Linked DNA regions of Struthio camelus. The protein of the gene in region 1 purifies or fractionates together with the protein of each later gene. This does not show direct contact. Links are inferred from orthologs where the notes say so. Each region holds a gene or a part of one and is shown in the gene's direction. Other genes may lie near its edges.

Region 1 (9,550 bases):
TCCACCAGTTCAGTACCAGTTTGCATCCGTACCAGCCGAGAGCAAGCAACAGGGCTGAGCGTCACCATCACAGTGTCGAGTTTTTCATGGCCCCTCAGTGTCCCCTGCTGCTCCCGCATCCATCCCCGGCTCCTCTGCAGTGCTGTGGGTCAGGGCCTTGGGAGCAGAGGCGCCATATGGGACAGGCAGCGACCTCTCCGCCAACCCTGCTCCCCTCTCTCACCACCCAAGGCCCCATCCGCCATCCCCGGCAATTTCACAACACGCTTCTCATCCTCCTACTGCCTGACTCATTCCAAAAGTGCCTTTAATTTACTTAGTGTCAGTCACTAAGCAGTTAAAGCCTGATTTGAGAGAAAGATCTAAGTCGGATGGCTCCTCCAGTGCCACCACCCACACCCTTCCGCTTGCAGACTGGAGCGAGTGGGAGCTGGTGAGGGCTTGGACTGGAAGCGGCAGCAGAGGACTTCTGCACCGAAACGGCTATGCAAGGTATTGCCACCTAGTGCTACGAAGATGGAAAAACAAGATTTCCCTTCTGCTCAGGACTGAAACTCCTGCGAGGTGGCCCCCAAAGAGTCCATGAGTGGGAACGTCCTCCTCCATTGGAGCAGCTCTTCAGCTCTTACAAGCTATCTTTAATCCTATCTGCCTGTCTGCTTAACCTATCTATTGTGCCATATCCTACACTCATTGCAGCTTAGGCCTCTTAACTTTGAGGCTGCAGGTACCTGCACTAGTATTAGTTGACACTAAACATGAAGACTGTTCTTTTTTTAGCACAAGGGTTTTAAAGGCAGGTTGTAAGGCAACACATAACTTTACTTTGTTTACCACACTTGTGACCTTGGTAGAAAAACAGTCTTTGAAAAATAGCTGCATAAAAGAAAAGCCTTGCTTAGGGGAAGGTTGCAACGTAAACCTGTATGTTCATAGGTATCAGAGAATAAGCAGGGGAAAAAGGCATTAGCTGCATCAAAAATTTTAAGTGGAGCTTGCGCCTTTTTAGGTGTCAAAGTTGATCACCTGTGAGACACAAGCTTAGGTTTTCTTAGTACCAGCTCATGGAACTGCTGCTTGTTTTACTAGTATGTCTAAATATCCATTAGCATTCTTCTGAATTTATAGTGAAAACGAATGAGATCAGGCACAATTTTCTGCGTATATTTTCTCCCTTCACCTCTGTGTTAATTTTTCTCCCCTGTATAACTCATTGCTGATTATTAGCTTAGCTTCCACTAAATCTCTTTCAGAGGCTGGCATTTTAACTTACCAGCTTGAGTTCTATATTGTTGACATATTAAATTGCAGAAAGCAGCAAAATTACCACAGCCTGAGTTCGCACTGTCTTTTTTTTAAGACATTGCATGATATGAATAAATCATGTTGCCAGCCTGCCACGATGCATTAATGAAGATGCATACCCTCTTACCCTACCCTCTTACTGGATGTTAAGTGAGAACCTTTCCACTGTCTTTTTTCTCTTCATTTTCACTATGGAAGAAGCTTTCTAATTCTGCACATCAGTTTGCTTACCAATCCTGCTGTTGCCTAACACAATAAAAATCAGTTATATAACTGCCTTTGCTAGACGTTCACAGAACATTCACCGAGATGGCATGATGGCTGCAGCATCTTTATGCTTTCCACTGTATCTCCTGTTCACTATTATATGTGATACACTCTGCTTTTAATATCGACCATTTTATTTTTTGTCACTTCTTGACATCATAGTTTAAAATAGTACATACCTAAATCTAAGATCATAGCCTTGCAAAGACAAAGTAGAGAAAAAAATATGTTCTGATTTACTGCCAAAAAGACTGATACTATAGCATTGTTACCTCCAAAAAAAAAAAAAGCATCACCTACACAGATTGTCACATCGTATTTTTAATACTCTAATTTTGAACCAAATTCTTAAAATAACCTGTGTTTGCAGATTACCAGCTGGCCTTTTTATCTGAATAATGTCCTGATTAGTGAACTCCCTCTTATCAATCCAGCAAGTACGGGGTGTCATTGTTCACCTCATTCACAATTCATCTTTTAATTAACAGTATCACAGGCAAAAATCTATTTTGGTCAGCGTAATTTGTCATTGGAATTGGCAGTACAGAAATAAAAGAATTACCTTCTGAAATTATCTGAAGACAATGTAGGAGATGGTGACTGCAAACCTACCTTAACTAGCACCAGAGAGGAAGGGAGGGAAACCACGTAAATGACTATGGCTTTTAACAATTTTATTTGCAATGTAAAAATCACTACTTTGGTCATTCAGTATCTGCTAGGCAAACTGTTCTGTCAAAATTACTGTTATTGAAAATAGAAACCTGAATCCTACTCTTAGACACATGCTTTACTCGTAAAGGGCTGCTGACTTACAGAAGTTTGAAGAGAGAGATACAGATGTCTTTTCAAGGTTATGATCTTAGATATAGGTTTGCAATAAAGCAACAAAATGCTGATCATTTGCTTTAATAGTTAAACTTTGAAATTAAGTTACAGCTACAGCACTGCTTTAGAGAGTAGACAAAGAAGTACATTTTTTAACTACTACTTTTATTTTTTGGTAGCAGGAGATGAACCTTTCTTACTGAATAAAATGCAATTCTGAATCCATCTCTCAAGACTTAAGGTGTCTGTCTAATGACATAAGAATCCATCAATGTGGGAAAAATTGAATAACATTTTATTTATCTGGGTCTGTAAAGAAGACATCTGTCCCTACAGTCTATATAGACATTTGTCTGTTTATTTTCAAATCAATGCACTTAAAACAACTGCATTTAAGGCACAGTCAACATACCACCAAACCAGCCACTTAAAAACTCCCTCCACCATCCCTTTACCTTATGACGGCTTCCATTCCTATTCTCAAATGCTGTGGAGGACTTTGCAACATGCCCTGAAAATGGTCAGATTCAAGGAATATTCTGCCAAAAAGACAATCAGTTCTGTAACCAGACCAGCTCTTCAGAGCATGCTCTACTGGAGGCCCTTTCTGTTTCAAAATAGCTAGACCTCAGCTTGGCTGCTGCTGGTGGCTTCTGTTACACTAAAGTGGAGAGGCAGTTTTGTAGGGTGGAAGATCCTGTTTTGTTAGTAGCTTTTAAAACAGTTTTTAGATAGGGACCACCAGTCTCTACTGTGAAAATTAATATTATATAATAATATAATATAATAAATTATGTATATTTACATTGTTTTTAATGAATGCAGCTTGTATTAAACATACCGGAGGCTAACTAACTTACTCGACCCCTCCTGTTCATAGTGCCATTTAGTTATTTTAATGGCAGAGACAAGCTGGTGCTTACACAGGCGCATCAGAAGGTCGAAGAGATATAACAGATATCTACAGCTTTACAGCCCTGATTCTGTAGCTTTCTGTGGGCTATCTTGTGTGTTGAGAGCAAGATGAAACCCAGAAATACATCACTGAGAGCAGGGAAATGCTATGAAGGTTTAATAATAACCCCATTAACATTAAATCCTATGGATTTATTTTCTTCAGTTTTTATCTGATAATAGACCTGGGAAGAATTAGTTTTTTTGGCAGAAGATAAAGACAGTTTGGCTCCTCAACCTTAAATATTGTTCCTGAATTTGAATAATATCTAATCATTATGAAGTTAATGGCACAGACTAAAAGTTATGAAAATTTCTATCCAAGGTTATAAAAAAGTATACCTAAGAAGTTGTTAGGCTGAAATAACGGCTTTGCAAGTTTAGTTTATTTTTGGGTCACCCTCCTTTCTAGGTAAAATAAGATGCCTTTCGTATTACTGGACCACTGGGTTTTTCTAACATTTTCTACATGCAGCCGAGGAGAGATCATTAAATCATACAGCTTTCTTTTACCCTCTGCCTTCTTCCAGACAAGTGCAATCTTCTGTATTCCTTGTGCATTAACAGCACATGAATAAGAGGCAGTGAAGATTTTACTGATCTTCTGAGGAATACTGAATTATTTTCTCTGTTCTAAGAACAATTATGCAAAATGTGGAAAACAAAAATAAATGAAGTAGAAAGATGTACCCTTTATATAGTAATGATACAATCCGACAAAAGGAAATTAAGATTCTCCTTAGAATATTAAGAGGTGAAATTAATATTCTAAAGGCCATGCTTTTACGATTCTCTCATAGCTCTGGTGAAAAAAAAACATCTTTTTCAGTTCTTGCAAACAGCCTCTCCAGAGATGTGTGTTCCTTTCATCTCCAAAAATTAACCAGAATTCACAAACAAATTAAAGTATGTAAATGCAATGGTTTCTAAACAAGAGCTGGTAGAGTACGCCTAGTAGGGAAGCGTGCGCTGCTGCCCCCTGATGCGAGGAACGTTAAAGCCGTTCAAGGGCCGCCAGCCAACGGCGCGCTGCCCAATTTCTTTCTTTCATTAGTGTATGGCCCGAAATGTATCTGTTACTTTTAGACAAAAATAAGGTAATGGCTATCCCCTGAGTAACTCAATATTTATGTTGTTAGTTGAGGAGAAGGAAGAAGAAGAGACCAAAAAAAAAAAAGAAGCAAAACAAGCAGAAAACCCAACTGTGCACAACCACCACGAGAAGCTTTTGAAAATCGTTAACAGGCACAAACTGCTGTTTAGAACCCACTTTTAACGCATGCTTTTGTTGTAAATCACTATCACCTGGCAATGGTAACATTTACGACCATCGCTGACTAATACTTCACGCAATTGTAGCACAGTTTGTCTTGCCACTCTCCTGTCTGTGCATCCACCTCTTGCACCCTGGAGCAAATCTGGGAGCGTAAGCTGGCTGGAGCAGGGGCTTCCTTGGTATTGTCTGCTGGTGTAATTTCTGGCAAACCGGGTCGCCATCTCTGCGTAGGTGCCCAGACGGTGCCGGGTTCAGGCCGGCGCAGAGAAGGGCGGCAGGGCGGCAGGCCGCGAAGGCGCCCTGCTAGGCCAGGGGGGCGGCCGGCCCGTCCGCCCCCGGGGCCGCGCGCCTCCTCTGGGGCTCGGGGAACGAGGGCCGCTGCGAAACGGGATTTAGAGCTTCAGCGATTTTTGCACTTTGTGAAATTGCTCTTTAAGCCGTAGCTCCAAATCCATGTAATTTGCAGGATTGTTTTTTCTTTCCTTGAATAAAGCAGTTTTTCACCTTCCTGGCTGACAGGCAAGGGTGACCAAAGTGCATCTGAAAAACTTAACCAGAAGGCAAACAATATTGGCGTGCGTGTGTACCGGGACCGAAGTCCAGGTGTCGCGGGACGACCCCCGCGCCCGCGGGGGCCGGGCGAGCTGTGCGGCCTGCGGGGACTGCAGGGCTCCTCCAGCCCGGCCCGGCCACCCTCTCCCCCCGGGCATCGCTTTGAGTTAGAAGGGAGGAAGCAAAGGAGGGAGTGAACCGGGCCGGGCCGGGCCGCGCCTGCCGTGGCCGGGGAGGGCGCCGCCTCCGAGGAGACGGGGAGGCGGCGTGCGGGCGCCGCGGAAAGACTACAACTCCCAGCGTGCTCCGGGGGCCGGCGCGGCGCGGTGACGCGGAGGGCGGTGACGCGGAGGGGGCCGGGCGGGGCGGAAGTGGGTTCCCCTCGCAGAGCCGCCGGCCGGGCCCGGTTCCGGGTGTCCCTTCCTCGGCGCGGGGCGGGGGAGGGGAGAAGATGGCGGCGGACTTGGAGGCGGAGGTGCAGGCTATTGACAAGAGCCTGCTGGAGTGCTCCGCCGAGGAGATCGCCGGGGTGAGGCGCCGTCGCGCCCTGTCGCCGGGCCGCGGGGGCGGCGGCGGGCCCGGGGCCGAAGCGCGCTCGGTGCCTGGCGGCGGCGGGGAGGGAGGGAGCGGGGGCTGCTAGGCCGGCGGTAACGGCGGCGGGGCGGGGGGGGGGGGCAGTACAGCCGGGCTGTGAGGGCTAGAGGGGCCGTGCTGGGGAGGGGGGGGAGCGGAGGGGGCAGAGGGGCTTTCCCCGCGGGGGTCGCGGGCTGGGCGCTGCGAAGGGCGCTGCGGGCTTGAAGCCGCGTCGCTCTCCGGCTCCAACGTGCTGTTGTCACCCGTGTCGCTCTTGCGGCAGCCTGAACGCAGCCGGCTTTTCCTGTTGTGCGGGCTTGCTCGGGCGGCTCGGGCCGGGCCAGCCCCGCGGCCGCAGCGCCCGGCGGCGCCAGGGCACCGGCCAGGCAGCAGCGGGGGCGGCGGGGCCGCGGCCTGGCCTGTGGGAGCTCGTCCCTCGGGCTGCCCTTGCTTCCTGGCCTTCTCCACGCAGCTCGGGAGTTTTGTGCTGCTGTTTTGCTTCACCTCTCGCTGTCTTGAAACGAGAAGAGCCTCCCTGTTCCTTAGCCTGTTAATTTAAGTGGAAGCCTCGTCCCATATACGCTTTGCAAGATTGAGGTTTTTATTACAGGGTTCCCGCTCCCCACCCCCTCCTTTTTTTTTTTTTTTTTTCCTCCTCTCCAGTATATAAGATGCAGTTCTGGTGAAAGCTTATCCCAGTTAAGTTTGGGACTATTAGGATGGGAAGCTTGTGGAGGAAATAGCTAGTAGAATCAGGGTAATACTTGAAGTCACCTACTTTCTTATATAGACTTTTCCAGCATTTGTAGAGAGTAGCAGGAAGGTCAAAGAAGGGGAATCTTAAGGGTAAAGTTTTCAAGGAACCATTTTATTTTTGCTTCTGAGGTAGATGCCTGATCTTATAGGTACATTTAGGTGCATTTGAGGAACTATATCTATACGTTTGTGAACATATTGGCGTGCTTTGTGTGCGTTTCTGTAGGATAAGACGTCAGAGAGCTTTTTCGTGTATTTTAATGAGAGTTACATTGTCTCCTTTCCAAAATAAAATGAAAGACAACGTTGTAATTCAGGTTAGCCTCAGATTACTGTCGTATATCTACAGTGCAGAGACAAAGGTGTGATTAGGTAGGCAAATGTGCCCAGTTAGCTATATCCTAGCTAGTTTAGTTCAGTGTAGGTAGCAGTATAGGTTTACGTAGGTTCATCATTTTTAGATGATTTTCTAGAGCATGTGTTAGTTACTTACCTGAGCTAAAGGCACACCAAATGGCACATGTCTAAGAATCTGCCATAGGTGCAAGGTCTTCTTTAAACTTAGTCAGTTCTTTCTCATTTTTCCCCCATAATCACCAGCATAAGCTACAATTCAGCGATCTGTTCGTTTCAGACCCACAGTGTGCTAGCAGTTAAATGCTATTGGCACTCCCTGAACGTGTAAGTAAACAGCACAGCTGGTCTTTAGGTCTGTTTTTCTCCCTCCTTTGCTGATAGTATTACTTTGCTGATAGCACAATACTAACAAAATAAATGCCAGTCCAAAGCTATAGTTATAGTACTTTGCATTTCAGTTTCTTATTGCAACAAGTTAACTATGAACCTCCAAAGAACAATAATCAGAAGAATAAATGACTGTCATCTGTAACAGAATATAAGCCTACATTGCAGATATTAATTTATATAGCTAACCAAAGCCATAAATACGTAAGGTATGCCATTTAGCTCTGGAAGTAGTAAATTGAGTTGTTTCATGACTTTTTTTGTATCGTGCATTTTGTTCAGCTATTTTGTCTCTTAATTAAATGTAATTTAATAGAAACTCTGATGGACCCTTAGGTGTTTACTTGTATGAGTGTTATTTAAACAATGTTTTTTGATTCTATTTATTTATTTATTTATTTATTGGCACTCAAAAGTGCAGGAGAATAAGTCAGGGGAGGAAATGAAGGAGGATACATTTCCCTTTTTATTAAAAGAATCTCATGGCAGGGTAGAATATTAATTTTTCCTACGTGTCAATTCAGGGTAGAAGATTAGGCAAGTTTTCAGTTAGTATTTGTCTAATATGAAATACTTAGGCCAAAAAATAAATTCTAAAGTTTTGAGTAGTTTTTTACTGGGATTCAGTGCCTCTCAGGTATCAGTCCGCTAGCAAGTTAGCATAGCTTTCAGTTTTGTTTTGTTATTTTGTTTTGTTTTACAAGCACTCTAAGGGACACCAGAAATGCATCTATTTCCTTGTCCTAGCAGTCCACATTTCTTTCCTTCTGGTATTCTTTTGGCCAGGATCTAATACTCAGAACTATATGCACAGCTACGTGTATAGAATTCAGTTCGTGAAGAGACGTAGGTGTGATGACATCCAGTGTTGCCACACCTAACTTTCAGGCAAGTACTGCTGGAATTTTTGGGAAGGGAAAGCTGTTTACCTGAGGAACAACAATTTTCTCTGGCTAGGTATTTGTCTGAGCTTGTAGTGTAACTAATATGTGCTATATCTTTTCTAGATAGAAATTACTAAGGTACTTCAGATTTAAAAAGTTGAAATTAAAGGCATTTTGCTAAGAACAAAATGCAAGTATTTTAACTAATACGTGCTCTAGAAAAATCATCTAAAAATGATCTTACTGAAGAGAGATGATGGAAGACACTAAGTTGGTTCCGCTGCAGTTAGGTCAGTTCCTCGTGCAGCAGTACGTCTTTGGCACAACTGATGGAAAGAGACCAAAAGATTCATGAGCTAGGGAAAAGGATGCAAATTCTTAGCAATGAAAATGTTAATGTTTCCATTTTTGTGGAGTAGTCTCTTAATCCTAATGGGAATAGTGAGATTCACTGTAAACTTCTGGATCCTTAGATAGGGTCTTTTATGGCAAGCCTTTTCCGTAGGCTTATTTGGAAAATTCCTAGTTTTGTAACCATCAAAACTAGATCAATTCAAAAACGTTTAGTAGATTGATTATGATTTTAAGCCAAACTTAGGGAAAGAGAAGTGAGGAAAGCGTTCTGTTTTACTATCTAAGAGCTATATTGACAAATAAGCTTTTTTGAATGAAAGTCTGCATTAGAAAAAGTAGTCTAGCAGATGAAAATATTGCAATGTATATTTTAAAAAATCCCTTAAGTGGTATGAATACTACACTGACTCTGCACCTTTATCCTCAAGAACTCACCACAACAGTATCTTCTCAAATAAAAGTTCTTAAGAGTGAGTCATGAATAATTCAGAGTGAATCAAGCTGTAACATTTGGTTATCAAAGTTAATTATTTTTGTATAATTAATTCTTGCTTTTCATATATACTTTTAGTTTGTTTATTGAATTCTATATTTGAAGTTATCAGAGGTGTCTTGTCACCGTATTTACAGTTAGAAATGGCATGCTAAGGCTGTTTATGTAACCTGCACACTTGCAATGTGTGTTTGCTCCCATATGTTTATCATAAAAACCTAGTAGCCTTAATTTACGATTTGGACCTTTATAAAATTGTAGTTCCACAAGACTGAAATAAATGTTATTTTGAGGGTTTTTTTTTTCTTCCAGTATGTGTCTGTGCACGCATATATATACAGGGGAAAAAATGTAGAGTTCTGAGTTTCTCAGTGGTTTATACCAGATACCTTAGTTTGGCTTTTAAAAACTCTCTATCAGCACAAATTCTCTTTTAATTGACTAATTCATAGGTCTAGCATCATACTTGAAATAGTAATTCTGATAGTTTATTATTTTTGATGAAGGAGAAACACGCCCTCCACGTCATTTTCTTAGTTAAATTTGTTGAAATTAAAGGAGAGG
Region 2 (8,722 bases), on another chromosome or scaffold:
ACGTACTCTGTTAATGATGCAGCTCTCGTTTTCAAGCCATTTCCCATTTGTTTTACATATTTAACGGAACAAACCTGTAGAAACTTTACTTCTCTCATCGCAGTTTTGTTAATATGCTTTCCTGATTTCTCATATAATATTTTAATGGCCACTGTCTGTCCCGTGTCCTTGTGTCGGCACTTCACTACTGTTCCGTAACTGCCCTCTCCCACTTTGTCAAGGACCTCGTACATCTCCATCTTCGCTGGTTCTTATTTCTTCATAGAAAGACAAAAGTTTGAATCAGTTCAAGGTACGCACGACTCCTTAAACACGCATGCAAAGGCAACATTTCAAGAGGGGTAACCCCTGAAGACAGCGGTCACTTCCCTTTCCCGAACATCTCTGCAAGCCCTTGAGGTGAAGCCTCCCAAGCCTTCAGCTTTTTTTTTTTTTTAAGCCATATACACATGGTGACAGTCAAGAGCTCAACTTCGCACTCGCGCACGCTCCTAGAGACGTCTACAGACCCCAGCTTTAACTAAAGGTGGGCTAAAGAGGAGGAATAAAAGCTAAATAAACAAACCCCTCATCCTCTAGAGCAAGCAGGTACGAGCAGCGCAACAGAGGAAGGACTGTGTTATTATACCGCCGCCACGGCCTTCGGAGGCACGGCAACCGGCCGGGGCTTGAAAACGCCCGCGGGCGCCGACCGACGTGCGGGGAAGCGGCGGCCCGACCCGACCCGACCGCCCGCCCGCCCGCGCGGCGGCACCAGCGCCCAACGGCCCTAACGGCCGTAACGGCTCCCCGCGGGCGCCGCTAAACCGCCGCTGAACCAAGGCAGCCGCCTCGCCATGGCAACGGCCGCCCGCGCCGCGCCGCCGCGCTGACGTCGGCGCGCTCCGCGGGGCGGGGGCGGGGCGGCGCTGAGGGGCGGTTGGCGGCGTCTCTCCTCACAGCCGGATTTAACGGGCGCGGGACGGTCGTTTTCCGCTCTCCACAAGCTGGTCGCGTATTAATCAGTTGGACGCGGTGGTCTTGGCGTTGCCGGGGGTTGGCAGCAGGGGATTGAGTGTATTTAACAACGCCGTAGCGGGTAAAAGGGGTAACTGCCGCTCCCCCAAGCGGCAAAAAAACCTCTCTCTCCACTTCGGTTTTTTACCAAGTCTGAGTAAAAGTTGAGTTAACTCCTCTAGGTCTCCGGAAGAGCGTTGGAGCGGGCGGGCGGGCGCGCTGAGCCCCTGGAGGCCGAGCAGGGGAGGCAGCCTGGAGCGGAGTCACCCAGAGCAAGTATTACACGCAGCCTCCTTCATCGCGTAGGTGGTTTAGCGGATAGATGGAGGCAGGTGTGGGATCCCTTGGTGTCTGTATTTTTTTTTTTTTTCAGTCATGCTTCTTGCTTTTCTAGGTGGTATGCTCTGAAGTAACTTTGTATTCAAATAGTATTAGAACAACTATTTATTTAAGAAGGGTGCACACCTAACTAAAATGTGTTTGAAGAATAGTTACCAGTAGTTTACTGTCAAAAGAAGAGGATGCCCTGAGTAGGGCCACACAAGGATTTATCCTGAATCTGGTATTTTTCCCGGAATTTTGAATAATGAAGTAGGATTGGAGTAACAGGCAAGCCGAGGTTCAAAAATCCTGAAAGGCAGGGTCGGCAATCAGGGTATGATGGAGTTGCACCCCTCCGTCAGTAAGTTATAGGGGTTCAGAGGCTGGAGTTTGTTTCTACCTCTACTGCTTTGTGGATTAAATAACCCACTTGATTTTTTTTCTTACTTTGACACTACTTACTCATTCTTGTCTTGGGGCTGTGGGTGCGCAAGTCAGTTACTACTATGCCACAGGCCCTAATGGGTTACATCTTTATTAGTGAATGCTTTGGGAACAAGAATGGTGTCTCCTGACCAGTGTGTTTGGCACCTCTGAAGGTAGCTCCTCAGCTACTAGTGTAATGAGTAAGAACAAAAGCAAATTCTAACGGATGACTTGGTTTATTCATTTCCCTAATTTTAGATCCTGGGGTTTGGACAGTGTTAATGGTAAATCTTCCCAGAGGGGCACTGCAGCATCAGAGAGAGTGACCATAAAAAAAAAAAATTAAGTTTCTAGGAGGATGGACTGTCTTAACAAATGCAAAGGCAGATACCTTGTTTCACTGTTATTTTCCAAACTGTTCGTTTTTAAAATGAACTTGGGTTATACTTAATTTGATTTTAAAACCTACATATGCTATATGATCAACAAAACAAATTGCAGCTGGATCTTCACAAGGGAAAAATATGGAAGCTTTGCATTTGCTAATAAAACTAATCATCACAGGTGTTTAATCATGAGACCAGATTCAAAAAGGAAAAACTTAATTAGATCCTGTCTATGCATGTGAGACAATCCTGTTTTGTATGATTTGTGACCCACCCATCTGTTTTGACAGTGCAGAACTGGAAAGCTTATCAGTGCCCTCTGCTGCGTGAATTCAGTGCGCTCAGACGTGCTTCAGGCTGCAAGCTGCTGACCCAACCCAAACGGTGGCTGAACTTCCCTGTGCTGCTGTGCAAGGGCCTGGGGTTGGCCTGATGCATGTATCTTAAGAGAAGGAGTATGGGCTTGGCAAGGGCTGAGTGGTAAGGTCTTGGCTAATTCCTACACTCAATAAAGGAGTGAAAGAGGAGCGCTTCAAGGAAGCTGTTGTGACCTTTCGTTTCTTGTGCCATTCTGCAAGGGTGTCAGAGGAGAAGAAATACTATTGCTGGTGAGGAGATGTTGGTGAAAAATTTCCTGAGCCAGGTGAAAACTATTTAGGATTTCAGGATTAACATTTTTTGTCTGATAGAGGGTTCTCTGTGCAGTTAACGAATGTTGCCCTGAAGGGGAAGCCTGAATGCGAGTTGAGGGGTGCCTGTGTGTTGAGGGTGACTTGGGCTTCAAAGAATAAAGAACTGCCCTTTGGGTAGAGGATGCTTTTGCTGCTGTGTCTGGGCAATTGTGGTGAAGGGCATGTTAATAGTGGAAATAATGAATGTTGTTAAATCTATGTTAATGATTTATACAGGTCCAAGCTTGTACTTGTTTTTTAGTCTCCCATCTCCCTTATGAATTAACTGATGCTAAATATAAACTGCTTGAAGCTAGAGGACTAGCAGCAAAATTAAAGCATATATGTGATGGGCAAGGGAGGAAAACTTAGGAGAAGAGACTGCTTGTCATGAAGCATCTCTCACTGGTGCAGGAAATAATACTGTTTTAATGAGTGGGAAATGACGGACTAGCCAGCCCAATAGGAGTTTCTTATTACTAGCCCTCTTTAAAACTCGCTTGCTCCCTTGTAATATCAGGCCTTTGTTTTGTGAATTGTTATACGTATATCTCACTTTAAGCATCTTAATGTCTTCACTGAGGTGGGACAATGGATTAAAACATGTTCAAAGCTTAAGTCTTGGCAGGATAAAATCTCTGCCTTAACAGTGAGGTACCGATTCAGAGCAGTGCTCTGGTCAGCCTGTAACCCTTGTCAGTGAGGCTGCTGAAGCGCTGGTTTAGCATGTGCTCGAGTGAAAAGCAGTTAACTAGCTTTTGTGCTATATTAAAGCTAAGGTCAATGCTCTCAAGCACGTGCATAGCCGAAGGCAAAACAAATGGGTAAAAGGATGAAGACAGTATTTATTTCTGTCACTTCATTATGAGTCTCATGATGTTTATGATCTCCCTAAATAACTCTGGAAAAAAAACAAGGAGGCACATGTAATCACACAAATCCAAGTGCTGGGGCTAGCTTCCAAGACTTCAGAAAAGAACAGGGTCATAACTTCAAAGAGATCTACTTGAGTCTGTTGGAGTCATGTGGTTTAAACAAGAAAAAAGGGAGAGGGGAAGATTGCAGGCAACTTAACTACCCTAGTTCTCCACTACCCGGTTTCAGAAGGTAAGTAGTATGAATACAAGTATCTTCCCGAAATGATTTCTGACTAACTTCATGCCCATTTGTTCTTATGCCAGTATTGTTATTTAGTTTAAATTAGCTCTTCTCTCCCTCAGCCTCTCTGATGTATTTATAGAAGGCATTTGTGCCTGTTGTTAGCCTTATTTTCCTAAGCAAACACTTCAGGCTGCCAAAGGTAGGTTCTTCGTTTCCTAGTCATCCTAACATTTTGTGCCATTTCAAATTGAAATTTCTTGTGCCTATTTGCATTATAGGAATCAAATCACAAAGCGGAGCCTGATGTCTCCCTCCTGCCAAAATTGTTATTTTGTCCAAGCCCTAAACTATCCATTTGTTTGCTTAGAAAAAGCTTTCTGGAGAAAAGAACTGCCTCGCCCCCGTGCAAGACTTCCAGTGATGAATTTTTAGCGCTGCACACCACAGTCGTCCAGCCGTGCCGATTTTCGCAGCCGGCCCTTCCAAAAGGCGTTTGTTTAAACGCGGCCATCGCTCCCATCAGCGCGGAGCTCTGCGCTGGGGCCGCCCTGGCTCCGCGGGCAGCCCCCTTCCTCCCCCCGCGGCGGGCGCAGTGGTACGCGCCGAAGGCGGTGCTCGCTCTCTCCCCCCCGGCCCCCCCCCCCCGCGCCGGGCGACGTCGGCGGCCCCGCGGCGCGGCCCGCCCCCCGCGGAGGGAGACGCCATTGCGGGGTTGTTTGTGCAGGCGGCCGAGGGAGGCGGCGCCGCGGCTCCGGGGCACGGCCGGCTCCCTTCTGCGCGGCCATCATGTCCACTCCGGCCCGGCGCAGGCTGATGCGCGACTTCAAGAGGTGAGCGGCCGCCGCTCGGCTCGGCGCGGCCCCCCGGGCGGTCAGGAGCGCCGGGCTCGGTTGCCGCCGAGGGAAGGGGGGGGGGGCGGCCGGACCGGCGCCGGGAGCCGCCGGAGCGGGGCCCGAGCCGCGGCCCGCCGGCCGGCCGGCCGGGGTCAGCCCGCCTCCGGAGCGGCCCCGTGCTGGAGCCCAGCGCCTCGGTTGGCCGGTCCGTTCCGTCGGGGCCGCCGAGCTGGCCGTTGCGCCCGGCCGGCGCCTGGCGGACGAGGGGGGCCGGTTCCGCGGTGGGGGGTGGGAGGGGGGGCGGCCTCCGGGCAGCCCGGCGGTGAGGCGCACCCGCCGGTGAGGAGCTTTACCCCCCCCCCCACACCTCCCCGGGTCCGCGGAGCGCGTTGCTCCTCGGGCAGAACCGCTTTTGTTTTTGTTGAGCGCTGCTTCCTCCCAGGCCGCCTGCCTCGTACTGTTTACAGACGTCTGGGGGCGTTTGAGGATAAAAGTTGAAGGCGATGCCTTGAGCGCAAGGGCCGCGCTCCTCCGCGCTCCGCCGCGCCTGGGCAGCGCGCCTTGAGCCTGGAGAGCCGTTCGCGGCCCGCCTGGCCGCGGCCGGGAGACGAGCCTTCCCCTGAAAGCTGCTCTTTAGGACCAAGCTCCCAGGATAAAGGCAGAGGCTCGCACGTCGCACGGCTAAAACCCCTTGGACTACAGTGACGTGGAAGCCTAATTCAGAGTCTTACTGAATAGAAAGCATATGATCTGTAAATAGTTAGGAAAGGCTCAAATACACTGGTTATTTAAGGATATAGGTGAGGGGCATGACTGAAAACCAAGCAGTGGTTGGAGGTCAGATGTGCACTGTCTTCTAGATACTTTTTTTTTTTTTTCCTAGAAGGGCCTAGTGGTGAAGAGCTTACTGAGGCTAAACGCTTCTGAGGCTCTTCCTCCCCTGCCCCCTTTCTCTTCCTCACACAAGTGTTTGAATACTTAAGATATTTGGCCCAGTTTTCTGGAGAGAACAGTCAGAATTCAGATGCAGTTGAGGCTGATTGGGTTGTCAGTCTCTCTGACAATCTCCCAGTTCAGGATGGACATCTGAAAATGAAGTATAGAAAACTAGTAAACACCGTCTATATGTGATTTAAAAAAAAGTGTTATTTTGTGTTCCTCAATAATGAGGAATCTGTAATATGTACACATATATGACTACTAATAACTGCTTCTTTAGCTCTTCTAAATGTTAATGGCTGAACCACAGAATCTGGAATAGTTTATTTCCAGTCTAGCATGTAAATATGTTTATAATTGAGAGTATGGAAAAAATTATTTTTTGTAAGCTTCACAGTATGTGTTATGATTTCTCTGGACTCAAGTAACTCATAAGTTGTGGGAGGTGAGTCAGCTTTGATACTGTCTCTTTTTTTAGCATAGCTATGTTATACCAGTACCTGAAAATACATCAGTAAACAGTTGACACATGCATATTGTATGTAGTTGTTTTAACACTGTAGCCTTACATGCAGTCACATAAAAGTGGAGGTTTTTGTTTTTGTTTTTTGACTCTGCCAAGTCGGACATTTTTGATAAGTGGATCCTAGCTGTTATGTTTTATTTGGGTGTTTGCATGCTGTGAGCAGAAGGTCACTTGAATTCTGTTTCAACTAAAATGGGGTATTCAGACTTTTTCCCCCCCCCTTGTATTAGGTTACGCAAATGACAAAAGTAGCCCTTCCTTTAGGGTGAAGGATGAAGTGATTTTTTTTTTTTTTTTTAGGATTGCAATCAGATATGTTTTCTGTGATTTTGTAATCAGTAGTAGAAATGGATTATCTTAGGGGGAGTGATTTGATCACTTTGAAATTGGAGATGGATAAAAGACTTTAAATCCATGGAGAAGTTCCGTGTTTCATTGCATTTATTTGGTTATACAAGTTCACATTTATTTATACATGTATAAGAACTCCATGCCTCAACACTTATGTAACATTTTCCTATCAGTCTTTTAAATTTTCTCCCTCCTACCCTTAAGTTATATTTTTGTTTAGCCTTATGTTAATCTGTTAATCTTACCTCATACTGAAAGAAGCAGACAATGTGTGCTGTGAACTCTGATTCAGTTTGTTTAAATATAAACTCCTTTTGCGTACTGCAGTTGTCAACAGTGCTGAAGAAAGAACAGTTCAACAGATTTTTTTTTCCCCCCTCTTTTTGACTAAAGCAACAAAAATAAGCTGACTAGGTTTGTTTTTGCTTTTGGAAAAGGAGCTGTAAATACTACGTTATCCTTATTTCTTACAGATTTCTGGTCTCTGCTCAGACCGGTCTAGTTTCCAGTTCTTGCCACAAATTTTTTTGCGCTCTTTGGCAGTGGGGTGCACGTGAGCTTTTTAAGTGATCTAAGAACCAAAGCCATCTTTCAGATGCATTATTAGACTTAATGCTTAGGCATTATTACTGGCACGCAGTCTGGATATCACATAGGGAGAAGTCACATTCCTGCTCTCACTGACCAAAATAGCAGGCAATTTATGCTGTTGATATTAAGCTGTCTGAACTGTGTGTGCTCGGAGAACAAGGATGTAAACCCAGAGTTCGGAGGGGATCTGAACTGCAAACGGTCAGAACCCTGCTTCTACCCTGTCTTTGCAGGGTAACATCATCGCTTACTGCCCACGTACACGTGCAGTTTTAGCTCACTGTGTCTAATAGACTTAGGAAATGCAAGTACGTGAAAAGTTACAGGGCATAATGAATGACTGTAGAGCAGTGTCAGCTCTGAATAAATCTGCACTTGCACGTGCAAATCTTGTTAGAATTTGCCCCTTGGTCTGCAGGCTCAGTGAAGACTTGCACATAATAGTATGCTGTTATGTATTTAGACCTCCTGTTAATACTGTTAAGAATTGCTTTTGAAGCAAGGGCAGTTGCTTCATTGTTCTTATTCTCATAATTATGAGGCTGAATAGGTGAGATTGATAGGAGCTATTGTTGAAGGGGTTTGATACGGCAGAATTCTTACCAGGTGATTGGAGCTTACTGTTTTATGCCGTTCCAGGGCTTTATGGAATCCTTAAATAGAAACATTGATAGACAAAAGGATGGGCAGAATGACAATATTTGGATCCTATCCTTGAGTTATGATGTCTGGCCCAAGTTTGTGACTTTCAGTCAGTAATGTATTTTTCCCTAGTCCCAGGATTAAGGGACCAGAAAGAATTTAAAACACTTCCATGATTACTTTAGAAATAAATATTTACATTTTGTTGAACTGGTAACAAGGAGCAGTACAGAGGTTTTTCCCTTGCTCCTCCTTCCCTTTCAAAGCAATCGGCTTGCCAGCCAGAATGGATTTACACCACGTTTAGCCACATCTCACATGCAAAATTGGGAATGCAAGGAAAGCTTCATTGAGAGTCCTTTGCACTAAGTTTCAATAAGTGTATCATTTAAGTATCACTGGCCCACTTTCGGATACTAATAGCTAATGCTTCAGTTTGTGGTTGTGATCTGTTTACTTCCTTGCAGCAACCAGCAGGAATTGCTTTCTACTCTTTCATAATGTACTGTGCAGTACAGTCAGTCTCAGTGTATGTGGTGCTTTAAATTATTCTTACAGTTGATGCTTTGCTCCTTGCATACTTATGCAACCCATTGGGCCATCAGTGTAATACTTGGGAAAAGCTTGATGTGCATTTTCTAGGTTTCTGTCTTTTGCAGTGTTACTGATCTGCACATAGCACTAATGCGAGTTGTCTAATTTGGAATGAGAAGATTTACAAACTCTGTATATTACTCTTAAATTTTACTTGTAGGAGTCAGTATTTCGTTTATATAAGGCTTGTCATTCTATATTTGTAATTCTTAGATTGCAGGAAGACCCTCCTGTGGGTGTCAGTGGTGCTCCGTCTGAGAATAACATAATGCAGTGGAACGCAGTTATATTTGGGTAAGAGTTTTTGCTCACTATAAAGGCCTATATTAAAAGGCTAAATAGAAT

What was found.
Region 2: the proteins of UBR2 (region 1) and UBE2B purify together in Homo sapiens (affinity purification with western blotting; 3 studies listed by BioGRID, with this or other methods). This does not show direct contact. The link is inferred for Struthio camelus from reciprocal best matches to the Homo sapiens genes UBR2 and UBE2B.

What each region holds. Positions count from the first base shown.
Region 1 is NC_090944.1:112,907,947-112,917,496, reverse strand, and holds the start of UBR2 (E3 ubiquitin-protein ligase UBR2), read left to right. Parts: upstream 1-5,498; 5' UTR 5,499-5,633; coding exon 5,634-5,711; intron 5,712-9,550. UniProt on the Homo sapiens protein: E3 ubiquitin-protein ligase which is a component of the N-end rule pathway.
Region 2 is NC_090954.1:3,939,606-3,948,327, forward strand, and holds the start of UBE2B (ubiquitin-conjugating enzyme E2 B), read left to right. Parts: upstream 1-4,539; 5' UTR 4,540-4,687; coding exon 4,688-4,731; intron 4,732-8,590; coding exon 8,591-8,671; intron 8,672-8,722. Other genes in the region: CDKL3 (cyclin-dependent kinase-like 3), read right to left, coding at 75-239. UniProt on the Homo sapiens protein: E2 ubiquitin-conjugating enzyme that accepts ubiquitin from the ubiquitin-activating enzyme E1 and transfers it to a E3 ubiquitin-protein ligase. In vitro catalyzes 'Lys-11'-, as well as 'Lys-48'- and 'Lys-63'-linked polyubiquitination.